7 linked regions of the Xenopus tropicalis genome follow. The protein of the gene in region 3 interacts with the protein of the main gene of each other region in a pairwise test. Links are inferred from orthologs where the notes say so. Each region holds a gene or a part of one and is shown on either strand. Other genes may lie near its edges.

The links.
Region 1: the proteins of rbfox2 (region 3) and atxn1l interact in binary tests that used the Homo sapiens proteins (3 or more experiments, as listed by UniProt). The link is inferred for Xenopus tropicalis from reciprocal best matches to the Homo sapiens genes RBFOX2 and ATXN1L.
Region 2: the proteins of rbfox2 (region 3) and rbpms interact in binary tests that used the Homo sapiens proteins (3 or more experiments, as listed by UniProt). The link is inferred for Xenopus tropicalis from reciprocal best matches to the Homo sapiens genes RBFOX2 and RBPMS.
Region 4: the proteins of rbfox2 (region 3) and psmf1 interact in a two-hybrid assay, tested with the Homo sapiens proteins (2 studies listed by BioGRID and IntAct). The two-hybrid records come from large-scale screens. The link is inferred for Xenopus tropicalis from reciprocal best matches to the Homo sapiens genes RBFOX2 and PSMF1.
Region 5: the proteins of rbfox2 (region 3) and atxn1 interact in binary tests that used the Homo sapiens proteins (3 or more experiments, as listed by UniProt). The link is inferred for Xenopus tropicalis from reciprocal best matches to the Homo sapiens genes RBFOX2 and ATXN1.
Region 6: the proteins of rbfox2 (region 3) and qki interact in binary tests that used the Homo sapiens proteins (3 or more experiments, as listed by UniProt). The link is inferred for Xenopus tropicalis from reciprocal best matches to the Homo sapiens genes RBFOX2 and QKI.
Region 7: the proteins of rbfox2 (region 3) and rbm42 interact in a two-hybrid assay, tested with the Homo sapiens proteins (2 studies listed by BioGRID and IntAct). The link is inferred for Xenopus tropicalis from reciprocal best matches to the Homo sapiens genes RBFOX2 and RBM42.

The regions. Positions count from the first base shown.
Region 1 is NC_030680.2:59,918,800-59,922,750, reverse strand, and holds the start of atxn1l (ataxin-1-like), read right to left. Parts: upstream 2,801-3,951; 5' UTR 2,553-2,800; intron 2,528-2,552; exon of another isoform or gene 2,456-2,527; intron 1,122-2,455; 5' UTR 1,007-1,121; coding exon 1-1,006. UniProt on the Homo sapiens protein: Chromatin-binding factor that repress Notch signaling in the absence of Notch intracellular domain by acting as a CBF1 corepressor. Binds to the HEY promoter and might assist, along with NCOR2, RBPJ-mediated repression.
Region 2 is NC_030677.2:83,961,183-83,965,196, forward strand, and holds the start of rbpms (RNA-binding protein with multiple splicing), read right to left. Parts: upstream 2,801-4,014; 5' UTR 2,510-2,800; coding exon 2,447-2,509; intron 1-2,446.
Region 3 is NC_030680.2:115,226,648-115,230,834, reverse strand, and holds the start of rbfox2 (RNA binding protein fox-1 homolog 2), read left to right. Parts: upstream 1-1,387; 5' UTR 1,388-1,529; coding exon 1,530-1,556; intron 1,557-4,187. UniProt on the Homo sapiens protein: RNA-binding protein that regulates alternative splicing events by binding to 5'-UGCAUGU-3' elements. Prevents binding of U2AF2 to the 3'-splice site.
Region 4 is NC_030686.2:690,903-695,181, forward strand, and holds the start of psmf1 (proteasome inhibitor PI31 subunit), read left to right. Parts: upstream 1-1,479; 5' UTR 1,480-1,586; coding exon 1,587-1,721; intron 1,722-2,939; exon of another isoform or gene 2,940-2,961; coding exon of another isoform or gene 2,962-2,988; coding exon 2,989-3,135; intron 3,136-3,253; coding exon 3,254-3,336; intron 3,337-4,279. UniProt on the Homo sapiens protein: Plays an important role in control of proteasome function. Inhibits the hydrolysis of protein and peptide substrates by the 20S proteasome. Also inhibits the activation of the proteasome by the proteasome regulatory proteins PA700 and PA28.
Region 5 is NC_030682.2:93,429,300-93,432,799, reverse strand, and holds part of atxn1 (ataxin-1), read right to left. Parts: coding exon 2,546-3,500; intron 1-2,545. UniProt on the Homo sapiens protein: Chromatin-binding factor that repress Notch signaling in the absence of Notch intracellular domain by acting as a CBF1 corepressor. Binds to the HEY promoter and might assist, along with NCOR2, RBPJ-mediated repression. Binds RNA in vitro.
Region 6 is NC_030681.2:54,618,383-54,621,882, reverse strand, and holds part of qki (protein quaking), read right to left. Parts: intron 1,579-3,500; coding exon 1,435-1,578; intron 1-1,434. UniProt on the Homo sapiens protein: RNA reader protein, which recognizes and binds specific RNAs, thereby regulating RNA metabolic processes, such as pre-mRNA splicing, circular RNA (circRNA) formation, mRNA export, mRNA stability and/or translation.
Region 7 is NC_030683.2:128,977,846-128,981,956, reverse strand, and holds the start of rbm42 (RNA-binding protein 42), read right to left. Parts: upstream 2,801-4,111; 5' UTR 2,748-2,800; coding exon 2,692-2,747; intron 762-2,691; coding exon 644-761; intron 505-643; coding exon 417-504; intron 1-416. UniProt on the Homo sapiens protein: Binds (via the RRM domain) to the 3'-untranslated region (UTR) of CDKN1A mRNA.

The sequences.
Region 1 (3,951 bases), about 55 Mb from region 3:
CTTCCAAATCTGTGTCTGGGGTGCTCCTGTGGGTTAGCAAAGAAGCCTCTGTCCTTTGTGTTGCCAGTCCTGTGTAAACATCACCATCCACCATATTTTCTTGCCCCCTTCCAAGCTGTTCCTCTGCATTTTGGCTGTAAAGGTCTACTACTTTACTGGGCCTATGGCCAGAGACATGATCAGGCATCCTTTGTGTCCCATTTGTAGAAGTGATTGGAATATCTCTGTCTTTACCCGCATGGGGAGGAGCACAAAGTTCTGTGTTAGAATGGCATGCCAGAAGCATTTCGTTCACAGGATAGGCTACTGGCAGCTGAGAGGAATGCTGATAGAATACAGGCACTCTTCCCTTTGCAACATCCACTGGCACCACCCCCATTAGGACTGAAGGAGACTGTGCAGTGTTAAGTTTGCTTATGGAGTGGGGAGACTGAGCCTCTGAGGGTGGAGTCACACCCTCAACAAGGACAGAATTATATGGCACATAGTGAGGGACATGAGAAGCAGCTAAGTTGGCAGGAGGTGATATCACTGCTCGAGAAAGAAAGCCTGGTGGAACTGTATATGGAACTGCGTAGGGGGAACCAAGGAACTGCACAGCAGTATGTGGAATTGGAGCATAATGAATAGGTGGATAAGTAATACCTGGGTGCTGTATCAAAGGAGAAGCTACATTAAAGGATGATGGGATGGAGCTCATATTCATCACAGGATGGAGACCAGGTGGGGAAAAGGAGGCAGCAGGCACTGCAACTTTGTAAAACGTTGCATACTGATCCACAGTTACAGCTTCTGCTTCCTCCCCCGCAGCTTCATAACTAACTCCATGTCCCTGTCCTGCTGCCACATACACACTCCTCGGCCATCCTGAAGCTTCACTTGTTGTACTTTCATTAGCAGATGAGCCAGGTACCTTGGGTTCCTCCTCCACATTTACACTGTTTTGTGACAGATCCCGTTTCTTTGGTGGAAGACATTCCTGGCTCCTCTCATGTGCAGGCTTCATATTGTCTCCTACTCTGCCTGGGATCTCTGTAGTTTATTAACTTCATTGATGCCTCACAGGAATAACCTCTGATAACTCCATTTACATCCCTTGGATGTCTTGTAAACTCTAAGAGCTAAACAAAAGGGAATCTAATTAGATTAGTGATTAGCATAAGAGACACTAGAATAAAACAAATGAAAATAGCAAATCTAGAAAAATACAAATTATAGGCCTATATATAGTAACAAGAACAACATTTTCCTAGATCTAGTAACCCATAACATCCAACCAACAGGTAGCACTCAATGTTCCGTTACAGCATGAAAAACATGAGAAACACTGATGCAGCTGCTATTGGTTTCTAGACCTCAGTAAACTCTTCCCTGTCACTGCACCACCACAATAATGTCAGGATCAATAAGACAACTTATAGTGACCGACAAATGATAACAGAACAATATTCAAGAAGCAATAAACTGCAATAAGCGCTCCCCACAGCCCTCATGCCAACAGTCTATATCCCATCAATGTGATCCAATTGTTTGGCCCTCAGGCCAAATGATCAGATAAATCTAATATCGCCCACCCCAAGGTGAATATATTAGGAAAAAGTTCTGCTTTTTTTGGAGACCTTGAGTCGATCTTACAGTGTATGGCTGTCTTTTCTATTCCCTTCTTTTCATGTTCTGTAACATATCTGAAAAGGAGAATAATAGAAGAGTGCAAAGAGGAGACCTGATTTGATACATTTATTTTGTAATCAGAAGGGAACAGCAAAGTGCAGACAAAAACTGCTTTCAAATACAATTTAATTTACAAGTAAAACGTTGGATAGCACCGACCTAGGCATATAAATACATTTGCATTTGGGATTCAGGTTCTCACAAGCAGCCTACCCCATTTGATATACTAAGGACAATTTTAAAGTATTTTTCTGCAATGCTAAGACTAATATGCATTTATAAAATTACAAATACAACACAAAGCAAAGGTTTTTCTGTATCAAGCCACTGCGCACAAACACACAAAACTAACGCCCTCCCCACTCACAGGGGAAACCAATAAATATTTAACTCTGCTATAAATTATACACACGATATGTTTTCAAAGAGGATCTATTCAAACTTCTGTTTAAGGGCAACTCCACCTTCAACCCATCGTTAAAAAAGACATTCGGGCAGAAAGAGTGGGCAGCTCTTATTTTATTATTGTGTTGCAAAATGTTTAACAATTCTACTGAACACGCTAAATGTAGATATTATTCTAGTCTACTGGCTCCTGTCAAGGCCGCCAAGGAGAGGGGGGGGGGGGGGGGGGGGGAGTCGTCCTAGACCAGCGGGTTTTGAGCATTAAGGTGGGGGCCGGCAGTGCTACACCTACTTGGATACCGGCCCCCCTGCTGTCAGTGAGCTGCAGAGTTCGGGAGCTATTTAGGTTGCTACGGCGCCTGAATGTTCTTTGCCCTACTCTGCTTTATACTGCCAAATAGTCCCCCGCATTCCGTAAAACAGCCCAGCAGTCCCGAGTTCCCAAGCGCAGCCCGCAGTCCCGTATCGCTACTTACACCTCCCGTAAAACTGTTAACTGCAGGCTCCTAGCCTCCTGTCTTACAGCAAATCCCAAAGCCACAAGTCTCATCACGCGAGACTAGCGTCAGGACTAAACGTAAGCGCGATGACGCATCACGTATCCGCCTAGTGGAAGTGACGAGCCGGTGTAACCCAGTCGGACACTGCAAGTTGTTGGAGGTTCAATTGAAATCTATTTTTCCTTTGGTCGCACCTCCTACGTTTGTTGAGGACATGAAAAGAACCAGAAAATATTTTCTTGTTTTCTTGTTTATTTTTCGCCATTACCACCCAGTTTCTACCGAAGTTATGTATTTTTTTGTGCTGCTAAGAGTTGCTTACTTGTGCCAGCGAACTGGAAAAGAGGAGCCTCTTGTATACCGTCAAGATGAACAGCACTTTAACGTGCAATGTTGAACTATATATTGCTTGAGAAATACAGCCTGGCATATATAAGTTTTTAGTGTGTAGACAGAGTCCTCAGCCAGCCTAGTTTATTGTGACCCAGATGCTTTACTAGAGGCTTACATTATTCATACCCACCTACTTCTTAAATATGGGCCCAGCAAGCACAGAGGGCCCGGCGTTAGGGATTATAAATAGCAGCGATTTAGAATTCTATATAAAAGAGCCCTATATGTGAGGTCCTGCCAGCCCAAAAGCTTCTTACAGGAAGGTAATGTATTATAGTCTGGCACTTGAAGGGGTTGTTTACCTTTAAGTTAACTTTTAATATGTTCTAGAATGGCCACTTCTAAGCAACTTTTTAGTTGGTCTTCATTTTTTTTATTTTGTATTATTTGCCACCTTCTGCCTCTTTCCAGCTTTCAAAATGGCCATTGACCCCAGCAGCCCAAAAAACTATTGCTCTGCAAAGTTACAAATTTATTGTTACTTTTTTTAATCTATCTATTCAGGCCCTCTACTATTCATATATCAGTAACTCTTTCAAACCACTCCCTGGTTACTAAGGTAATTGCACCCTAGCAACCAGATAATTGCTTAAATGCCAAACTGCAGAGCTGCCGAACAAAAAGTAAAATAATTAAGAACCTACCAATAATAAAAAATGACCAATTGCAAATTAGAATAGCACTCTATATTAACTTATTGATTTTCTTGGAAAAGGCACAGTCTACTAATACTCTGTATATAGTTGCAAGAACATATAATTTTGTGCTAATGCAGGGCTGCCATCAAGATCGGGGTGGGGGCAGTTGTTTTGGGCCCCAAGGGTTTTGGATTTTAAGGGGGGGGGGGGCCTGGCTGTGCTGCACTTGGATTACCAGGTCCCCTGCCGTCAGTTGCTGCGCTGTGTACATGTTCTTTCCCCTACATAGCTGTCTCATTCACAGCTACACAGGACTGAGAGTGTGCTGAGTCTTTAGGTACCAC
Region 2 (4,014 bases), on a different chromosome or scaffold from region 3:
TTTGCAACCATTATGGATCTATGCAGCTTAGTTACCATCAAGTAAAAGGTAATATTTTATTATTACAGAAAAAATAATTTTAAAGTATTGGAATTATTTGCTTAAAATGGGCAGTAGGAGAGACGGCCTTCCTGTAATTTGGAACTTTCTGGATATCAGGTTTACAAATTAGAGATCCTGTATATATATATATATATATATATATATATATATATATATATATATAAAACACAAAATAGCCGGTACCGCACTCACAGGTCTTATAGAAAGATATTTATTCAAAAAATCGTGTCTAATGTTTCGGCTGCCATTGCAGCCTTTCTTTTTTGAGAAAGGCTGCAATGGCAGCCGAAACGTTAGACACGATTTTTTGAATAAATATCTTTATATAAGACCTGTGAGTGCGGTACCGGCTATTTTGTGTTTTACTATTTCGTATTGGACTGCACCCAGGCATCCTTGACTCTGTATTGTGAGTGCCTGTTACCAAATTTTGTGATTTTATATATATATATATATATATATATATATTTTGTTTGCATCAAAAACTCTCCACATTATTTTACAAACAACTGAAACATTTATTAATCATTTGCCTTGTTCTACCATGCCACTAACAGTATACCTGAATTCAACTATTCCAAGGACAAAACAATGCTGTTAAGGGAGCCAGTGTCCTTTGCATGTTCCACTTACTGTTCAGAGGAAAATGCAGCTGCTCCTAGAATCCTTTTTTAAAACAGCTGATCTTCATACTAGCATGCAATTTTGTTAAACCTGAAAATTTGACACAAGAAGTGAATATAAAAATACCAATATTGACGAATTTGCAAGAAAATGTGTGATGTGTATGTAAACTATAGGCAACTGTCCTGGGCCTGGACTTGAGAAACACAGAGGAGAACCGCACACTGAATGGTGCATGGTCAAAAAGTACTGGTACTAAAAAGCAAAATTCCCACACTCAAGATGTTTGAATCTTCTACTGAATTGTAAGTTAAATGCCCTGTGGGTTTGTGAATCCCCTACTAGCCTGATTTCCCTTCTTTTTGCATATTCCTGGCACCTGTAACCTAGATACCTGGGTAGAATAGTTTTTCCCTATTGGTTCACGGATGTTATAATTGTTTCCTGTAATGTTTAATATAGTAAGCGGGATCACATGGCTCTTGCCTTTTGGCCTCCACCTGCTGGAATGTCTGCTGGGCTGTCTTGGACAATAAGGCCCTAGTAAAGAAGAGGGACCACATAGGCACATGGGGAAGTATGAAATGTGTTTGTTTCTGTGCACCCCTGCGGTGAAACGCAGAAACAAACGCTAGTAATTACAAGCCCTAAAGGGCATCTCATAGTTGAAATGCAGGAGCTAGTTCACACTTGAGAACTGGTATCCATTATCCTTATTTGTTTGCAGCATGAGAGGTATTGTTTAACAACACTATTTCCTTCCTCTACACAGTAATGCAAGGACCCAACTGTGAGAGAGGGTTATGGCTTTTTAATTTTAATATTACTATTTTGACAAAACAAGGACCATTTTGTACCACCTAAAAAATACACAGCAATGAGAACTGCAACTCATATATTACAACTTCCCGTGTTTTAAGGAAAATCCCAGAAACTCAAGACACCTAGGATTTATTGAACAATTTATGAACACATTTGTTTAAACAACAGATTTACTGTATGCTGCACTCACAAAACAACAGTTGTGCAGATCATGCTTCCAATCAAAAGCTGATGTGATTGACTGTTTAGAACTAAGCAATTGTTCTGATCTACAAACCAGAATAATTAAGTTTGTCGTTTTCTCCCATTAAAAAAATACCAATCTCACATTCACACTATAGAAAGTGGTCCTCCACTGCATGAGCTTGATCACATCAGAATGTCAGCATGAAAGTTAAGGCATGCAATTACATACAATTTTGATGAATGTGAACTCTTTCCATACAAATGAAATCTGACAAGTCACAGGGTAATCATATGCTCATCACTCCTAAAGGATGAATGAGGATGCGACTGACTGACTCCTGAGGTCGGACCTAAATTGCCACACATAGAATCTGTCAAATCCCCAGAAACAAATCTTACTGTGGGACTACAGCCAGGGTTGCTCACTTACTAAAACAACAAGCCCACAAAATGGTACCGCACTACATATATACACACAAACAGTGACTGATAACAAGGTATACATGTGTGTGTATGTAATAATATACAAAATTTAAGCTGCTTTTACTTAGCATTTGTAAACACACAAACATGTATACTGAACTACATTTCTGTTGATCAATATTACAGCTTTTTAAGAAACATTTAAAAAAGCATTTTTATACAACAAACTATAGGAGTTGGAATGATCAGCAGGCATCACAAGTGGATAACACCATGTGCAGACTAGGGATAATGAGTAAAATATTTCGGTTGTATTAGAGCCACCTACCTCTTCTTCTGGAAGGCTGATCTCATCCTGAGAGCCCTCCTTTTCAGCTATGTTGCTGTTCATTGTGGTCTCCTGGGCAGAGGCTTCTGTGAATGTCAGTTTCTACAGTGCAGACTTTTCGCTTTCCTTATACTGGGAAGTGCTGGAGAAAGACTGGAACTTAGTTTCAAGCAGTCAGGTTACTGGTTAGTTTAATGAAAAGCATATCATTTAGATCCAAATATTATAATAAAGCTCTTGTTCTTTCAGAGTTTTGTCTTAAAAGTAAGATGAGGAAGTCTGTGGTTTGTACGAGTGATAAGGAAAGCAAGCGAGGGGGTGAGAGAGGAAAGGGGGATTGCGAGTGACTGTTGGTGATTAGGGTTAGGAGCAGCCTTTGCTTTCTGAAGGGGAAGGGCTTAAAGCAACTTCAGAGCCGGGACTACAAAACTCCCAGTTTGTGGGTGGGGAGCTGCTCTGTTTAGAGAGCAGGGAGGGCTGGTGAGAGAAAAAATCAGTATCGGGTCCAATTTCTTAGTTAAAAAATCAGCCGTGCTTGAAAGCGTCTTCAGAAATTGACGATTTCCAGACAAGGTCAAAGGGTGAAATGCCGAGAGATAGAAAATAGGCAGCGGCAGCAGGGTGAGAGAAAGAGAGAGTGGAGGGGGCGGAAAGAGTGATAAGCACTGTGTTTGGTGCTAGTGGTGAGTAGGATCTATTACAGTGCAAGTATACCTGAATGTTCTGGGTGCCGCCTTACCCTCCTTATATTATTTCAATTTGTAGCGATAGATCTTAACACTTTCCTGTAAGGTTAATTTAGGCAGAGGTTTACACCAAGGTGCGAAGTACACAATGTAGGAACCAGCAAAGATAATGCGCTCTTATGCATTTATTCTTGTTGTTGTTAGGATTCCACAAAAGAGGGAGCTTAGAGCCATGGCAATGAGACCTGGAGATTTGAGCTAAATCTGCTTTATCACAGTTTACTAATCTCTTAAAAATGCTTTCCCACCAGCAGTAATGTAAATCGTAGGTGACTAAACTCCACATGTGCCTCAGCCTTAGGGGTGACTGCACACATAGGAATTAGTCACCCTTGATATATCTGCTCTACCACAGGTGTCTAATCTTCTGGATATTCTTTGTGAGAAAATTACGTTCAACTTTAGAAGAACAAAGCAAAGCGTATGTTTTCCCAGTGGTGATTTACATTATTGCTGGTGGGAAAGCATTTTTTGGAGACTAATTTCCACATGTGCCATCACCATAAGGGCAATAGCCCACAGGAGGATTAGTTGGCCACGGTTAAATCTTGGCTACCGCGGCCAACTAATCTCCCTAAAATTTTGGGAACTAATCCCAGAAATGTGAATTCCCTGCAGGAGGAAACAGCACAACTTCACAAAACAAAGCAATGCATATGTCTTCCCATCGGCAATTTACTTTATTGCTGGTGGCAATCTAACAATAGGTGACTAATCTCCCTATGGGCCTTAGGATACTGGGAGACAAGGAGATTTATCACCTGCGGCAAATCTAGGCTACCTCAGGAAGCAGATCTCCTAGAAATACTTGTACCTTCATTA
Region 3 (4,187 bases):
AACCCCTGTGTGTCTTCACCCTAAAGGGATGTTGGGAAATTGCTTGTAGAACTATTATGGCTTTCTTTCCATCTGTGGAATCAGGTATGTTTGTGTAGAAAAAATACATTTATATTTATTTCTAAAAGTTCATATAGTGTTTAACACCTTAAAGTTGCATAGTAGACAGTGGTAATAAATGCATTTTGCAATTGGTCTTTTTTTATTTGTTTTTTTTTTTAGCTTCAAGATGGTTGCTAGGGCTTATTTTCCATAGCAGCCAGGCAGTAGTTAGGAAGTCAGAATGCAGTATAAGTAGGAGATGACCTAAGTAGAAAAAAACAAAATGAGATTAACTTTAAAAATGCAACATTACTGGTGGGTCTCGAAAATGTTATAATAGGTTATGAAAAGTGAAAAAGTTATTTTAACATTGAAACATTGAAACATTTCAATTAACATTGAAATTATCCTTTAACTGTATCTTAACATGGCAGATCTGACCAATGTTGTGCCCATATTTCTAGGCATTCTAGTCAAAGTAATTGCAAATACCGTGTGGTATGGGGGAACCCAAATATGACCAGTGATGGTAATATTTAGTTGTATATTATTGGTGTATGTCTCCGGTTTTACCTTCATTTGCAGTGTTCAGCTTGTTGCATCACAAACACGTTGTTTGTCCAAATTGCATAAACATGCCATGGTACTGTCCCTTTATGTGAAGGTGTATGCAGTTTTAGGGAAGGCTGGCTGAGTATGTACAGTCTGTAGCTGAGTGTTGCCATGTAGAGCTGCTGCGAGGGTCTGTAAGTGCCTCATGTATCCGTTTCAGTCTGTAAGGTTCGCCTGCAGCATTACTCGCCCGCAGCAGTTATTCCTCCCTTCCTGCTGAAAAACAATCAGTCAATTAAATCTGTCTTTTTCATTTCATTGGCAGCCTGATCTGTGATGGGGGTCATGCCGTGCCATAGCCATGCTTTGGTTTTCTTCCTCCTCCCCAAATTAAATACTGTAATTTAATTTTAGCATTATTTCACCCTCTTTATTTCACCTAAAAGCCACGTCCAGTAAATGTCTTATCTGTAATGTTCTTTGTATGTTATTCTGTTACACAGATGTCAGTCTCCTGTTTGTCTCCTTTATGTCTGCTTTTTTACTGTTGCAGATTTTCTTTTTTTTCTCCCAATTATTTCTCCTGTTTGCCATGTGTAATGAGAGATGTCCCTTCCAGCCAGCCATGCAGGAGAGGAGGGGGAGGGAAAGGAAGAGAGAGGAGGGAGCAGGGTCTGGGAGGGGGAGGAAGGGGAGGGAGGAGTGGCAGAGTGGTGATAAATTACCCCTGGTGTCAGAAGGAGGAGCTTGATCCTGAGAGAGAGAAAGAGAGCAAGGCAGCAAAGAAAGATAGGAAGAAAGGAAGGAGACAGACACAAGGACAAAGAATTACACCGGGATCCTAAGCATTAGCCCCCTTTAGACTTCAGTTCGAGGTGCTCAGGGAGCTTACTGTGCTCCCCTATCTGCTTTGTCCTTTCCTCTTCTGCTGGTTTATGGAGAAGAATAAAATGGTTTCGCAGGTAAGGGCTGCAATGTCCCTGTGTCTGTTTTCCTTCCCTCTCTTCCTCAGTCTGCATGATTCCCTCCCCCCTTTCCTATTTACCTCTCCCCATCCTTTGTGTTTCTGTCTTTGTTACTGCTGCTAATTAGTACCATGTGGGGCTTTTCCACTCCTTCCCCATATCTGCCATTTCCCTCACTGTACTACAGATCAGAATAACATTCGCTCACAGCACACCTCTCACCCTCTGCTCAACCCCAGCTACATTTCCTAATCCATAACTGGCATTTCTGCCTCACCCCCCCCCTCGTCCTCAGTATTCCTAAACCAAACCCGTTCATAGTCCTTAAAATTCATAATGGCGTTTCTTACGAACCTGCGTGGAGGCTCGCTGTTTTATTGCTTAAAGCTATATTTTTGTTGTTTTTATACCTATTGTCTGCTCCCATGCATGTGACACAGAACTGCCTTTGTGTATTTATAGAAAGGCATATATGTATAAAATGCATTTTAGTTGGGGGGAAAATGACATTTATTGCTTTAAACAACTACAGTCTTTCTGTAAATGTTGTTCAGTGCTGTTCAGATGTATCTCACCCAAATATACACGGGGCATTCCCAAGATATCACTGGGCGTGCAGGGAATCCTATGCAGAGTGCTCCGCAGCAGTCTGCGATTCCAGTTAAAGGTGCTTATTATATCCACGTTACAGGGAGCGGGACAGCAATTTGAAGGTGAAAGTAATCAGGTGGTAGGCGGATGAGTGGCATACACACAGCCATTCAGCTTGAAATATGTTAACCTGGTGCAATGGGAAAGCTTGGAGGTTCTGAGGATTCCTACTACATGGCTAAGATTGGCAACCCTTGTTGCAGGGACAACACATTTATATAAAGGAAGGGAATTTATGTTTGTTTTTTTCTCTGTATTATACTGGTATAAGCAACCTTGCATTCTGCATTCATTTTTACTGGTATTTCTGAACAGAAATATAATATACAACAGGGAAAATAAGTATTGAACACATAAACATTTTTCTCAGTAAATATATTATTGATGGTGCTATTGACATGAAATTTATACCAAATGTTGGTAAAAACCCAAGTAATTCACACATATAAAGAAATCAAAACAAATAAGTCCTTAAATGAAGTAATATGTAATAAAGTCAAATGACACAGGGAATAAGTATTGAACACATGAAGAAAAGGAGGTGCAAAAAGGCATGGAAGGCCAAGAAACCTGCTGAAATCTGTCAGTATTTAGAAAGCAATCCTGCCCCCTATCAGTGCAAATTAATATCAGCTAGTTTAGTCCTAATTGATGGCCTATAAAAAGGTTTCTTATTACCAAGATATTGCACAAAGAGCATCTCATGATGGGTAAAAGCAACTTTGCAACCTTATTGTTGCAAAACATACTGATGGCATTGGTTACAGACGTATTTAGTGTGCACTGCTGTGGCCATAATCCGGAAGTGGAAAGAACATCATTTGACCCAAAACCGGCCACAATCAGGTGCTTCTCGCAAGATTTCTGACAGAGGAGTCAAAAGAAGAGTCAGAGGAATTGCCCAAGAGCCAAGGATCACTTGTGGAAAGCTTCAGAAAGACCTTGAATTTACAGGTACAGTTGTTTCAAAGGAAACAGTAAGTAATGTGCTCAACCAACATGGCCACTATGCATGCTCACTGTGCCAGACTCCACTGTTGAAGCTTGTTTAAAGTTTGCTGCACAACATTTGAACACGCCAATGAAATTCTCTTTGGATGTCATTGCACACATAATGTTTGGAGGAGAAATGGCACTACACATCACCCCTAAAACACCATACCAACAGTGAAGTTTGGAGGTGGGAACATCATGGTGTGGGGCTGTATTTCAGTATATGGTACTGGCAGACTTCATATAAATGAAGGAAGGATGAATGGAGAAATGTACCGGGACATTCTTAATAAGAATTTGCTGCCATCTACCAGGATGCTGAAGATGAAAGTAGGGATGACATTTCAGCAAGGCAATGATCCCAAACACACAGCCAAGGAAACTCTCAATAGCTGCTAGAATCAATCAATCACCCAACTTGAATCCAATTGAAACTGAAGATCAAAGGTTATAGAAGAGGACCCTGGAATCTTGAAGATTTGAAGACATTTTGTGTGGAAGAATGGGCCAAAATCACACCTGAGAAATGCATGTGACAAGTTTCTCTATACAGGGGGTGCCTTGAATTTGTCATTACCAAGAGCTTTTCTACTAAGAATTAAAGGAAAACTATACCCCCAAACAATGTAGGTCTCTATACAAATATATTGCATAAACGAACTCGTATGTAAAACCCTGCTTCATCTAAATAAACCATTTTCATAAAAATATACTTTTGATAGTAGTATGTGCCATTGGATAATCCTAAATAGAAAATTGCCATTTTAAGAATTAAGGGCTGCCTCCTGGGATCATAGGATTTACAGTGCACGCACACAAGCCAAGGCACACATACACACTAGGCCAATTAATGGACAGAGTTCTGCCTTTTGCCCCCACACTTCTTCCTGTTACAGATAGAGCTGCATTATTTCTGGTCATGTGATCCCTGAGGGAGCACTAAGCCCATCACTAAATGGTGGATCAAGGGAAAGGATGTAAGGG
Region 4 (4,279 bases), on a different chromosome or scaffold from region 3:
GGGTAACGGGGGACGTTCCCCTGTGGGGCTGTGTAACTGACTGGGGGGAGGCTCGGGGGGTAACGGGGGATGTTCCCCTGGGGCTGTGTAACTGATGGGGGAGCTCGGGGGGTAACGGGGATGTTCCCCTGGTGGGGCTGTGTAACTGACTGGGGGGAGCTCGGGGGTAACGGGGGCTAACGGGGACGTTCCCCTGTGGGGCTGTGTAACTGACTGGGGGGAGCTCGGGGGGTAACGGGGGACGTTCCCTGTGGGCTGTGTAACTGACTGGGGGGAGCTCGGGGGTAACGGGGGGTATGTTCCCTGTGGGGCTGTGTAACTGACTGGGGGGAGCTCGGGGGGTAACGGGGGATGTCCCTGTGGGGCTGTGTAACTGACTGGGGGGACTCGGGGTAACGGGGGACGTTCCCTGTGGGGCTGTGTAACTGACTGGGGAGCTCGGGGAAGCCGGGTAACGGGGGACGTTCCTGTGGGGCTGTGTAACTGACTGGGGGGAGCTCGGGGGGAAGCTCGGGGGGGTAACGGGGGACGTTCCCCTGTGGGGCTGTGTAACTGACTGGGGGGAGCTCGGGGGTAACGGGGGACGTTCCCTGTGGGGCTGTGTAACTGACTGGGGACTCGGGGGAAGCTCGGGGGTAACGGGGTTCCCCTGTGGGGCTGTGTAACTGACTGGGGGGAGCTCGGGGGGTAACGGGGGACGTTCCCCTGTGGGGCTGTGTAACTGACTGGGGGAGCTCGGGGGGGGGTAACGGGGGACGTTCCCCTGTGGGGCTGTGTAACTGACTGGGGGGAGCTCGGGGGGTAACGGGGACGTTCCCCTGTGGGGCTGTGTAACTGACTGGGGGGCTCGGGGGTAACGGGGACGTTCCCCTGTGGGCTGTAACTGACTGGGGGAGCTTGGGGGGTAACGGGGGACGTTCCCTGTGGGGCTGTGTAACTGACTGGGGGGAGCTCGGGGGGTAACGGGGGAATCTTTATATCATTTCAGTTGGTTTCTGTGATTTATTTTGTACGGTGGTTGAATTATCGGTGTTTCTATTCCGTCCGTTTCCCACAAGGGTCACTGACCCTATCGACCACTAAACAGAACTCCTCTGATTGTTCCACTTCTATAGTTACGCTACCTGGTTACTAAGGTAATGGAGGCATAGCAACCACAATGCAGCTGCAATTTTTAAGCCTTGAAGTTCCAGATAAAAAAAACAAATCATAAAAACCACAGGTTCTTAGCTGAATGGGGAGTAACCCGAGTGGGGGCCCGACCTGCCCCTGCCCTTACTACCCCAGACTAATATTGCCCCCCCCCCAAGGTTATTAACCCCCACACCCCACACCCCACACTGCAGCCCAACCCACACTGCTCGCCTTGGGGGGTACAAGAGGGTAATTTGCCCCTAGAGCAGGGTAAATAGTGTCGGTTGCTGGGAGTTGTGGGACTATTGGAGGGGGGGGGGGGGCAGGAAGTCCCGCCCCCCATTTATAGCGCCCCCTGGGGCGGAACCTCCAATCACTTCGCTCTGTTCTCCCGGCTGAACGCGGAAGCTGAAAGTGTTGGGACCGGAAGTGAGTATGACGCAGTTCCGATCATGGCGGCCCCGGGAATGGAGCTGCTTTTCTCTCTGGTTTCCGCCGATATTTCCCGCCCGCCGGATCCGCTGATCTGTTTCATCCACTGGGAGTTAATCAGCCGCCGCCTGCGGTGCCTGGGCCGGGGGGAGGAGGTGAGAATAAAGCCCGGCACCCCCTCCCCTGAGTGTGAGTGAGGGCTGAGTGTGAGTGAGGGCTGAGTGTGTGTTACTACACAGTAAGGGGGGCTCGGCCTGTATCCGCTAATGGGGGAGGGGCTGAAACTTTATTATACAGTCTGTGTGTGAGTGTAACAACCCGCCCCCTCTCCTGGTGCCCCGCCCCCTCTCCTGGTGCCCCGCCCCCTCAGCCTGCAGCCTTGTGCCTTTATATGGGGGGCACAGAACCCCTCAGTGACTGCTAATATCCTTATCATTTACAGTAGGGGGCACATTATCCCTTATAATACATGAGTGATACTCAGAGTTCCCTGTATAACTCAGCCTGCAGCCTTGTGCCTTTATATGGGGGGCACAGAACCCCTCAGTGACTGCTAATATCCTTATCATTTACAGTAGGGGGTACATTATCCCTTATAATACATGAGTGATACTCAGAGTTCCCTGTATAACTCAGCCTGCAGCCTTGTGCCTTTATATGGGGGGCACAGAACCCCTCAGTGACTGCTAATATCCTTATCATTTACAGTAGGGGGTACATTATCCCTTATAATACATGAGTGATACTCAGAGTTCCCTGTATAACTCAGCCTGCAGCCTTGTGCCTTTATATGGGGGGCACAGAACCCCTCAGTGACTGCTAATATCCTTATCATTTACAGTAGGGGGTACATTATCCCTTATAATACATGAGTGATACTCAGAGTTCCCTGTATAACTCAGCCTGCAGCCTTGTGCCTTTATATGGGGGGCACAGAACCCCTCAGTGACTGCTAATATCCTTATCATTTACAGTAGGGGGTACATTATCCCTTATAATACATGAGTGATACTCAGAGTTCCCTGTATAACTCAGCCTGCAGCCTTGTGCCTTTATATGGGGGGCACAGAACCCCTCAGTGACTGCTAATATCCTTATCATTTACAGTAGGGGGTACATTATCCCTTATAATACATGAGTGATACTCAGAGTTCCCTGTATAACTCAGCCTGCAGCCTTGTGCCTTTATATGGGGGGCACAGAACCCCTCAGTGACTGCTAATATCCTTATCATTTACAGTAGGGGGTACAGTATCCCTTATAATACATGAGTGATACTCAGAGTTCCCTGTATAACTCAGCCTGCAGCCTTGTGCCTTTATATGGGGGGCACAGAACCCCTCAGTGACTGCTAATATCCTTATCATATACAGTAGGGGGTACATTATCCTTTCGATGCAGACTATGTGTCGCCCCCCGCAGGCAGCAGCGCAGGAGTCGGGGTCGGAGCGCCTCCCGGAGGGATGGGCACACAGTACGGACCTGTACACGCTGCGCTACGGGAGCCCAAACTCACAGTTTTTGCTGAAAGCCCTGACAGTAGAGGGCGCTGTGATTGTGCATCTCATGGTAAGGAGAATGCCCCCGGGGCACTAACCCACTCTGCCAGTACAATGCTGTGCCGGTGTGCCAGCCAATGAAACAGGAGCCCATTGATTCTGAGCAGCTGATTGGCTCTCTCCCACAGGACATGCAGACGGAGAAGGTTGCGGATGTGACGCTGCAAGTGTCCCGGTTCATTGACTCCGCCCACCTGCAGGAATACCCCAGGTCAGAGGCTGGGGGGCCCCGGGGGGGGGGGAGGTTATGGTGGGGTTCCCCTGGCTGCCGTTACATCAGGTAGGCGGGGGGTTATGTGGGGTTCCCCTGGGCTGCCGTTACACAGGCTGGGGGGGGTTATGGTGGGGTTCCCGGCTGGCTGCCGTTACACAGGTAGGGGGGGATATATAGGTGGGGTTCCCCTGGTTCTGCCGTACAGACACAGGTACGGGGGGGGTTATGGCTGGCGCTTCCCCTGGCTGCCCGTTACACAGGTGGGGGGGGTTCATCGGTGGGGTTCCCCTGAGCTGCCGTCTCACACAGGATAGGGGGGGGTTATGGTTGGGGTTACCCCTGGCTGCCGTTACACAGGTAGGGGGGGGTTATGGTGGGGTTCCCCTGGCTGCCGTTACACAGGTAGGGGGGGGTTATGGTGGGGTTCCCCTGGCTGCCGTTACAGCAGGTGGGGGGGTTATGGTGGGTTCCCCTGGCTGCCGTTACACATGTAGGGGGGTTATGGTGGGGTTCCCCTGGCTGCCGTAAATAAGAATAAATACACAGGTGTGGGGGGAGATATGGTGGGGTTCCCCTGGCTGCCGTTACACAGGTGGGGGGGTTATGGTGGGGTTCCCTGGCTGGTAGAACCGTTACACAGGTAGGGTTATGGTGGGGTTCCCCTGGCTGCCGTTACACAGGTGGGTAGGGGGGGGTTATGGTGGGGTTCCCCTGGCTGCCGTTACACAGGTAGGGGGGGGTTATGGTGGGGTTCCCCTGGCTGCCGTTACACAGGTAGGGGGGTTATGGTGGGCGTTACACATTTAGTGGTGGGGTGTCCCTGGCTGCCGTTACACAGGTGGGGGGTTATGGTGGGGTTCCCTGGCTGCCGTTACACAGGTAGGGGGGGGGTTATGGTGGGGTTCCCCTGGCTGCCATTACACAGGTAGGGGGGGTTATG
Region 5 (3,500 bases), on a different chromosome or scaffold from region 3:
TTTCATTATTCACATATTTTCTGCAGCTTCCCCATTATGCTGTCTGTTTGATATGTTCAGTGAACCTAAGAATCAAAAATGTTAATAAAAAATGGAATGATATGCAAGAGGAACATCAAATAAAGATATTTATAAGAACATTATCCGGAACCCGGTTATCCAGAAAGTTCCAGAGTTAGGAAAGGCTGTCTCCCATAGACTCCATTATAAGGAAATCATTTTTAATTTCCTTTTTATCTGTAATAATAAAACAGTACCTTGTACTTGATCCCAACTATGATATAATTACTCCTTATTGGAGACAAAACAAACCTATTGGGTTTATTTAATATTTAAATGATGTCTCAGCAGACTTAAAGGAGAAGGAAAGTTATTTTGGCATTTTATTGCCAATAGATTTGCCACATTAGTGCCACCTAGAACAATATATTTATTCTGCAGAAACCATTACCATACCAGAGTAAATAGCTTTAGAAGCTTTCTCCGTTTGATTAAGATAGCAGCTGCCATTTTAAGTAGCTTCCTGCCTGCAGTCTAGCCGTTATAGCTCAGATTACACATTCCTAAGGGAAAGGGAAGGGACTTCTTAGCAGGAGAGGGGAGAGAACTGCGCAGACACTGGAATTAAGGATGTTTCTGAGAGAGGAAAAGCTGTTAATTATCCCCATGTGCAATGCCAAGTGTACCTGTTTTGTGAACTCCTTGTTTCACCATTGCACAATTGTAGGATATTAGTTATCTGAAGATGTTATTATGGGCAGGCATAAGAGTCTTATATGGCCAATCTTCTACTCAGTTCTTAGAAATGTGTTATATCAATAAATATACATATATCAATTTTGAGTGGGCTTTTGCACTTTGCACTTGGCTTTAATGCCATTGAAAATGTATGATGTGCAGTGCATTTGTGGGAGGCTGTATATATATAATTTTTTTTTATAACGTGATAAAAAAAACTTGTCTTTTAGGAAAAGGTGGGCGGGGGAATTTATTGTAGGTGCAAGTTTTTACCACTGTTTTACTATAGAAGTTAATGAAACAATAAAATACAGTATCACCTTTAACAAACTGGAAAGAGATTTTGATGTAAACATTTTCTCAATATTTGATCTTTGTAAAGAATATAAATGACTATAATAATGTGTAACATTTTTCAATCTGCCACTTATGGTGGGCTCAATCAGTGTTAGGCAGCCTGGTATAAAATGTAATAAATTAAACCAGTTCAGTTGGGCACAGGAATTATATTGTAGCCAAAATGGCTTTTTCATATTTAGTGCTATTCATTTAACCCTGATATAAACATTTTTAGACTGTATATGGCTTTTTATGTTTGAAAACTGAGAGGTGTCTGTTACGTGTATGTATTACTTAAATCTGCATACATTTCAAAGTTGTAGTTGTACTCACTATTTGGCCTACTGTATATAGGGACTTCTTGCCCAACCTAGTTTTATGATTTCATTAGATTTGTGGTTTTAAAAAAATATTTTTTTTCAAAAAGTGGTTGTGTCATTCTTTCCTGTCGAATTTTTTTTAAAAGCTTATTCTTTTATTCATTGCTCCTCTTGAACAGCCCCAGTGTGAGAGAGTGCAAACAGAATAATGTAACCCAACAAAATGTTTAGCAGGTTGATTCATTGCATTGCAAAGTACATGAATCTTTTGTCTATAAAACCTCAATTCCCAGGGATTATGAATAACAGATCCTGCACATGACAATGGAAACCAATATGACCCTTCTTAGATCCCTAAATATTGTTGGTCTGCACCTCCTAGTAGGTTTTAACCCCTGATTATCTGTTGAGGAATTCTGGAGTTTTATTTCAACAGCATCTGGGGACCAAAGGTTAAGAAATACAGCTATATAGTAACAGCCTTCATCTGACACCAGCTTTGTTCCATACTACCCTACTTTAACAAACAGATGTCCACTTCATATAGGTTAAAAGATTTAGGGGTATATTTATCATACTGTGTAAAAAGTGGAGTGAAACATTACCGGTGATGTTGCCCAGGGCAACCAATCAGCAATTAGATTTCAACAGTTACAAAATGAAAGAAAAGCATCTGATTGGCTTCTATGAGCAACACCACCGGTGATGTTTTACTCCACTTTTTACACAGCATGATAAATATACCCCTTAGGGTAATGCCACACCAGGATGATAATCAGCATCTATGTTTGCCTCAGCCTACTTTTGCGACTGCACCCAGAACCAAAAAGTTGGCCAAGGTGCAGGCACATGGAGCAGATTTTGGCACTAAAAATGCATTAGTATGCATTTCAGTGATGAAATCTGCTCCATGTGTCTGCATCCGGCGCATGCAGTTTCTCCAGGTGCAGTCATAAGAGTAGGCTGAGGCAAGCAAAGGGGTAGATAAATGCAGGCCGAGAATCAGTCTGGTGTGGCAGTAGCCTTATATTCTGTATGAGAATAATACAATAACTGACGCTCTCTTAGGTAAAAGCTTCTAAAGCTACTTTGTCTTTGATCCATATCAACAATATCTTTAAGTGCAAGATAATTTAACCTTTACTCACCTGTGACCGGTGCTCTCCCACAGCAAACTGCACCACAGCTATGCCTGGACTATGGCTGCTCTCAATTCTCTCCACTGTGCTGGAGTCTATTTTCAAGTCGTTGCTAATATCTGCACTTTGTATGAAGTCATCTGTTTTTAAATCCTCTACTTTCTTTAGCTCACCATTGGCCAGCTGTATGATTGACCCTTTCATAAAGTAAGGGGGCAGTGTAGGGGCAGTTGCCATATGAGAAGCAACAGACTGTACAACAGGGAGGTGGATTTGAGCTGGGACCAATGCAGCCTGGTAGGCAGTTTGAGTTGCCAGTGTTTCAGCACTGTAGTTTTCACCTTTTGGAATGGGCGTAGTGACAAATGTATGAGGCACTGCTGCAAACTGGGGAGATGACGTCACAATACCAGGTGTAACCCCAACCCTAGATGATTCCATGTCTGGATTGCCAACAGGTATAAGTAAGGGCTGGGTTCCAGGGAACACCAAGTGTTGTGGCAAATTTCCAGGGTAGCCAATGGTTTGCTGCTGACTGCTGAGATAGCCAATAACTGGCTGTTGTGTACCCGCATAAAAAGCAGCAGGCAAACCAACAGAAAGTTGTTCTGCTGCACTGTGAGTTGTCTGGATGACAGTGTGAGGAGATAATGTAGCCACAGTTTTTACTACTTCTGGGCATAATGTTTGCTGTGGGGATAAAACATAGGGCCGATGGGTTTGCTTTCCTAAATGTATGCTTCCCCTGTTATGAGCTGCTAAAGGTGAGGTTTCTCTCTTAATAGTTTGTGAGACATCCATGTCTGTGGCAGTTGTGTTGCTGTTAGGCACTACCATGACTGAGGTCCGAACTCCTGAGGGATCCCGAGTACTATAATCAGTACTAGGGTGCACCACCACATGTCTTGTCTCATAATGTTGGGAAGCTGGTTTATTATTGCCTGCTTTCATTAACTGTGCATCT
Region 6 (3,500 bases), on a different chromosome or scaffold from region 3:
AAAACCTGCCATACTCTGCCTTCCCTACCCTGCCTGTGTGTGCCATACTCTGCTTGCCCTATGATGCCTGTGTGTATGGCACACACAGGCAGCATACAGTGACACAATGCTGGCACTGCTCCTACAGTCTGCACAATAACAATATATTAAAAAACTTTTTAATTGCAGTACCACCTCAGTATATGCTCTTTTTGTAATGTGCAGGGATTATTTGTGGGTTTCTACTACTCCTACAGTCTGAGGTGTGAACAGGGGAACAATGTGGGTGATTACAGCCTGAGCCTGAGGCGTGAACACTGCAGGGGGTGAACAACGTAGGGATTAAAAGGTGTAAACAACACAGGGGATTACATTTTTAAACAATACAGAGGGTTTACAGCCTGAATCTGAGGTGTGAACCATGCAGGGGGGGGCAGTTAATCTCAGTACTGATACAATTTAAAGCTTACACAAAGGTAAGCCATGAAAGCAGCCAGACAGGTGGGGGGGCCACACAGAGGGGGGCCGAGGGCCGCATGCGGCCCGCAGGCCGCCAGTTGGACAGCACTGTTCTAGCTGATATGTAACCACTGAAGCAGAATATGCTGCCTTTAAGAATGTAGCACTTTAACCGTTTACTTAAGGCCGCCTGGAAATCTTGTACTTATCTTTACATAGCTTTTTTTAAAGGAGAAGGAAAGTCATTTTGACATTTTACTGCCAATAGATTTGCCACATTAGTGCCACCTAGAGTAATATATTTATTCTACAGAAAGCATTATCATACCTAAGTACACAGCTCTAGAAGGTTTTCTCCATTTGCTTAAGACAGCAGCTGCCATTTTAAGTAACTTCCTGCTGCAACTCTAGCCATTAAAGCTCAGATTACACATTCCTAAGGGAGGGGGAGGGAGTTCTTAGCATTCTTGTGGGGGGGGGGGCAGAAGAGGGGAGAGTTCTGCAGACTCCCCAGGAATTAAGGATGTTTCTGAGAGAGGAAACCAGACACCTGAACAACATGTTTACAAAATAGGAGAAAATAAATCCTGTGTTTCTTTTGATAGAGGACTCATTGCAGCTTTTCTATGAGTGTTTAGGGCTGTATTTACATAGACCTTTCTGTCAAAGCTTACTTAGTTTTTACCTTTCCTTCTCCTTTAAAGTATCTTTAGCTTGTATGAGCCTGTAGGAAAGTACATTGTCACACAGACAGTAGCTGAATGGTCAATCAATAAAGTCTGACCTCAGTATTCTGCTCTGTAGTGTAGCAGGAACTGAATGATCTTTGTATTTATTTGGTACAGTACAGCTACTATGCCAACATATGCTTCTCCAAAAATTATTATGTAAATTGACCAATCTATAATAGTAAAATAAACAGTGGTGTTTAATTTGCACTTTTGCTGTAATTGGTCTTCTGGTAAGCCAGTAGAAAAAAAAGTTACTTATACTTACTGCTGGGACCAACAGCTTCTTAACCTCTTCCACTGCTCTTTTTAACTTAATTTCTGCTCTGTTTTGTGCATCTTCAACTGTTATCAATACATGCAGATCTTCATTTAGATGCTCCCAGTTAGGCTTGCCTCTGTTTTGTTCCTCCTATAAAAAAAAACATATAATCAAGATCAATAAAACAACTGCTTATATTTGCACAGTCAAATCTTATTTCTCACTATAAAAGATTGCAAAGGAAATCACTAACTTAGTCAGTGTTACGTGTATCAAAATGTGTCCTCCAACACAATTTGCAGGTGTTCTCATATTACTGTATACGTATCTTAACAGAGCCTTTTCAAATAAAAAAATAAATAAATAACTGGGCTTGATTTTGCTCAGTTGGCACAGCAATGAAGCATTCCAGGAACCTGATAAGGTACAAATAAATCAAAAATAGCAGCATAAAGAATGATATCATTTACTTCCAAAAGTAATTTGTAGATATAGTATTTGACAGAATATTTAGAGGCCTTTTTATAAAGATATGTTTCACATAACAAAAACGTAGTGATTTTAGGAACCACAAATATTACACTATGAAGCCATTATTTTTAGGGATGCATTGAATCGATTCGGTATTCGGCTTTTTTGGGCAGGATTCAGATTCAGCCGAATTCATGGTCCTGGCTGAACCGTATCCGAAAAATCATGTGAATTTTTAAGTTGAAAATTTTTCTCCAAGCCTAAATTAGCATATACTAATTTAGATTTCAATTTGGTTCATTATTTGGCCAAATCCTTTACGAAGGGTTCAACAGAATCCAAATCCCTAATTATTTATCACAAATGGTGAGTTATGCCGGGAATTTCTTGGCCACCTGAATTTTTTCCAGACATATTGGGTAATGCCAGGTCTTAGGGATATAGGATAACGGTATCAAATAGTGTTTTGGTGCTATGAAAAAAAGTGGAAAGACCTTTTTTTTTTTTGTAAATAAATCTGGAAGGCACTTTCAATGTTCCAAAAATATATTTTGATGTTGCATAGAGGAGACTGCAAAGTAAAAGCATCTTTTGATGGCTTTTTATATTTCAAAGCTTTATTTTGCACCCCCACATTCACTGATGACTGATGTAAATGGATGTAGATAATCATTAGATCTTTAACTTGAACATAGCAGGTCAAAAGTATAGGGGATAAATTAATTGATGCTCTTTGAAGAGATAAATGCATAGAACATTGCAGGTAAAGTCATGCTCAAAATGGTGGTGAATGTATTCTTAAAAGTGATACGGACAAGAAAAACCTTTTAAAAATATGAATCTACGAAAAAAAGTTACCTATAGGTTGTGTTAATCATTTTTTGCTGATCGGTTTGCTTCTGTAAGTGCTACTCGAAATTCCTAAACCTGACTGGTTTGCCAACAACTGCAGCACAAATATGGCAACCCCCTCATAGAGGAACACGGGGGATCAGGCAGATGATGGATGTAGATAATGTATAGCATCGGACAAATACTTCTATGGCAAAATTATAAACAGCATGCAAAGACATAGTTATTATAGATGTCTTTTTAGTGTAGCTTGCTTAAAATCAGTTTACATCTCTGATTTGCTGTTCATTATTCGTATGGGAAAACACCTCACACAAGGTAACCTTTTACCACAGCTATAATTGCTTTCAAGGACTGTCAAAAATATGCAGGCAGGTGAAATTTTCAGTCTAGACAGATCAACTATGATCTAAAAAGACTTCCAGCCAATGGGGAATAAATGTCCAGATGGTCAGCAGTATGATCATGATCCACCAAACACCAACCATACCTAGGTATCTGGCGTGCTTTAGAATAGAATCTGGTGACTGGAAGGAAAAAAATGAACATACTATTTCAAAAAAAGTATATGGACATTTTTCAAAATATATTACATATTGTTTTCACATGTTGTGTATACAGTTTAAAAAACATAAGAGTGCTCAAATAACACCAACAAAAATTGCAGCACAGTTTTAAGGGGCGTAATGGATTTGAATCTTCTGAACAAAATCAAAAACAAGCAGCTGAGCCATAAAAACTGACAAAAT
Region 7 (4,111 bases), on a different chromosome or scaffold from region 3:
AGAGAGTAATTTTCTAAAACATTTTGCAATTGGTCATAATTTTTTAATTATTTCATTTTCAGTTCAGCAGCTCTGCAGTTTGGAGTTTTAGAAGCTATTTGGTTGCTAGGGTCCAAATTACCTTAGCAACCAGGGAGTGGTTTAGATGAGAGACTGATATATGAATAGGAGAGGGGCTGAATAATAATAATAAAAAAGTAACAATAACAATAAAACTGGAGCCTCACAGAGAAATAGGTTTTGGCTGCCGGGGTCAGTGACCCCCATTTGAGAGCTGCAGAGACAGAAGTAAAAGGAAAATAATAATGAAGACCAATTGAAAAGTTGCTTAGAACTGACCACATACTAAAAGTTAACTGAAAGGTGAACAAGTCCAGTTTGCTATGGCAGAATATATAAGATTATTGCAGCTATACCTGGGCCAACAAATGGCACCGGTGGAACAATCATGGGCCCCACGACACTGGCCGCAGCGGCTGCCCTCGCCTCTAGACTCTGCTGCACCTGTGAGTAAGGAGAAGCAACAAATACACATAAATATATATATATATAATATCATTCAATATGGGGGCACCGTCTGCACAGGGCAATACCCACACTAGGGTGCCCCAGGGTCATTACCCCACTACCCCCTATACATTACCTGGCTATAGGTGTTAGTGGCAATAATCGCCCGTATAACAGGCACAGCTGGGATGGGCAAGGGCACGGGATCCACTGGAGGCAGCGCCACGGGAGCTCCCAGTACTTCCTGCTCAAACCTGCAGAATGAAGAAACATGACAGGGAAGGGTGAGACAAACAGTGAGCCTTGTAGTTCTACTACACCCTTTGCTGCAGAGTCCTATGACTTGTTATGCTCTATTCTGCATAGTAGGACACCCCAATCATTTATTCACTAGAGACTGGAATGGGATATAAATCCCAAAATGCACTGGGACGTTTATTAGAGTGTTTGGGTTTATATGCCCTTTACATAGTGTAGGGCAGTGATCCCCAACCAGTGGCTCGGGGGGAACATGCTGCTCCCCAACCCCTTGGATGTTGCTCCCAGTGCCCCCAAACCAGGGAGTTATTTTTGAATTCCTGACTTGGGGGCAAGTTTTGGTTGAATAAAAACAAGATTTCCTACCAAATAAAGCCCCCTGTAAGCTGATAGGGTGCATAGAGGCCCCTAATAGCCAATCACAGCCCTTATTTGGCTCCTCCATGAACTTTTATGGTGCTTGTGGTGCTCCCCCAACCCCTTGGGCGCTGCTCCCCCAACCCCTTGGGCGCTGCTCCCCCAACCCCTTGGGCGCTGCTCCCCCAACCCCTTGGGCGCTGCTCCCCCAACCCCTTGGGCGCTGCTCCCCCAACCCCTTGGGCGCTGCTCCCCCAACCCCTTGGGCGCTGCTCCCCCAACCCCTTGGGCGCTGCTCCCCCAACCCCTTGGGCGCTGCTCCCAGTGCCCCCAAACCAGGGAGTTATTTTTGAATTCCTGACTTGGGGGCAAGTTTTGGTTGAATAAAAACAAGATTTCCTACCAAATAAAGCCCCTGTAAGCTGATAGGGTGCATAGAGGCCCCTAATAGCCAATCACAGCCCTTATTTGGCTCCTCCATGAACTTTTATGGTGCTTGTGTTGCTCCCCAACCCCTTGGGCGCTGCTCCCCCAACCCCTTGGGCGCTGCTCCCCCAACCCCTTGGGCGCTGCTCCCCCAACCCCTTGGGCGCTGCTCCCCCAACCCCTTGGGCGCTGCTCCCCCAACCCCTTGGGCGCTGCTCCCCCAACCCCTTGGGCGCTGCTCCCCCAACCCCTTGGGCGCTGCTCCCCCAACCCCTTGGGCGCTGCTCCCCCAACCCCTTGGGCGCTGCTCCCCCAACCCCTTGGGCGCTGCTCCCCCAACCCCTTGGGCGCTGCTCCCCCAACCCCTTGGGCGCTGCTCCCCCAACCCCTTGGGCGTTGCTCTCCGTGCCCCCAAACCAGGGAGTTATTTTTGAATTCCTGACTTGGGGGCAAGTTTTGGTTGAATAAAAACAAGATTTCCTACCAAATAAAGCCCCTGTAAGCTGATTGGCTATTAGGGGCCTCTATGCACCCTATCACAGCCCTTATTTGGCTCCTCCATGAACTTTTATGGTGCTTGTGTTGCTCCCCAAGTCTTTTTACATTTGACTGTGGCTCCCGAGTAAGAAAGGTTGGGGTTCCTTGGTGTAGGGGGATCAGAGAACTCTTTCCCCTGTTTCTCAGTCAAACTGTGTGTGATTATTCCTAGTGGAAATCCCCTTGAGGTGTGCTCCTCAGTGTCCACTAGGGGGAGGCACTGCGCTAAAATCCCCTTTTATCTGCAAAGGGAGCCAAATCTCCTGCCTAAGCCAGTAATACAGCCCACAATACAGGAGTGCCAAGAAGGGGTTACACTTGTTACGCTCTATTCACCCCAGTCATTTATGCACTAGAGACTGCAATGAAGTGAACTGGGACGTTTATTAGAGTGTTTGGGTTTATATGCCCTTTACATAGTATAGAGCTATATTGAAAGAGCCCCATGAGTGGCAACAGGTTAACCCCTGACACTACAGCCAGCAGGTCTGTATCACCCTAAGGAGCCAGTCAGTATGAAAGTTAACTTGCCCTTTACCATTTTAACCACAACAAACTCTCACTATACAGCTTGGCAGCTCCCTACACAGCATAGAGGATACTCACAGCGCCATCTCCGCCTCCATCGCCTTCATCTTCTCCTCCCCGCTCTTCCCCGCCATCCTGACGCTTCACAGAACGCAACCCGTTAGCCGCAAAGGTTCTAACTATCCGCCGGCGCACGGATAAGCGCGTCACCACCGCTTCCGGTCGCTCACACTGGGCGGATGACTGAACTGGAGGCGTGGAACGCAAGATCTTAGTCGTTTCATCCGCCATTTTGGTGTTTTTATATAGAAGCGCGTCACTTCCGCTTCGGGTCGCTCACACTGGGGGAATCACTGAGCTGGAGGCGTGGAACGCAAGATCTTAGTTCTTTCAACCGCCATCTTGGTGTATTTATATAGAACGGGTTTTAGCAAATAGAGTTAAATTCGCGTCTTTGTATGACACAGTTTGAAATATTTTCTAGGAATGATTGTGAAATAAAGAGTTACTCTGGAAATGTATAAGTTACATCAAATCAGGTGGTTATAGTAAATAAACTAAGGTTGATGAAGGAAATACGTAAACTTGCTTCCTTTTTACAGGCTGCCCTTTGTAGGGGACTTCATAAAAGTCTCTAATTAGGAGAAAAGCATTGAGAAGCAATGTGCCACCCCCTTGACACATAGTAACATAGTAACATAGTAAGTTAGGTTGAAAAAAGACATACGTCTATCATGTTCAACCATAATGCCTATATATAACCTGCCTAACTGCTAGTTGCCCCAGAGGAAAGCAAAAAACCCCATCTGAAGCCTCTCTAATTTGCCCCAGAGGGGAAAAACATCCCTTCCTGACTCCAAGATGGTCCCTGGGGCAACACAACCGCTAATTCATACCTCCCAACATTTTGAAAATGGAAAGAGGGACAAAAACAAATGGTGCACGCAGTGTGGCAAGTTTTTTTAACCACGCCCATTTTTTCAACCACACCCCCTAAATACCACTCCCATTTGACTAAATTTGGCAGGTTATTGAAAGTTTGAACACATTTCTGGGGGGTTTATGTGTTAATACAGTTTTGCTAATGAAGGTGAAGTTGCCCTTTAAGCTGTGAGTCTCAGTTCCCCCAAGAGACCTGTTTAGCTTATTAGTTACACTTGTATCTCAGTGCAGGGGGGGCTTTTTACCTTCTGGGCTCTCTGCCGAAAGCTACTTATTTAATTAAATGTGAGAAACAATGTATCTAAGTGCAGGTGACGCTCGTTAAGATTTCTGGGCTCTTAATTCAATTTGTATCTTTTTTAGCTTCAGTGCAAAGGGAAATGAGAGACTTTTCAGTAAGAATCCGGGACTGCAGGTTGAGCTGTCTAACAAGGGACTGTCCCGCGAAAATCGGCCCAGTTGGGAGGTATGTCGTTGTATTATTATATTGTAAGTATAATTATTATAGGGACACTGGACCTTGGTAATGACAGTTTGAAGACTGGGGCCTCTGCAA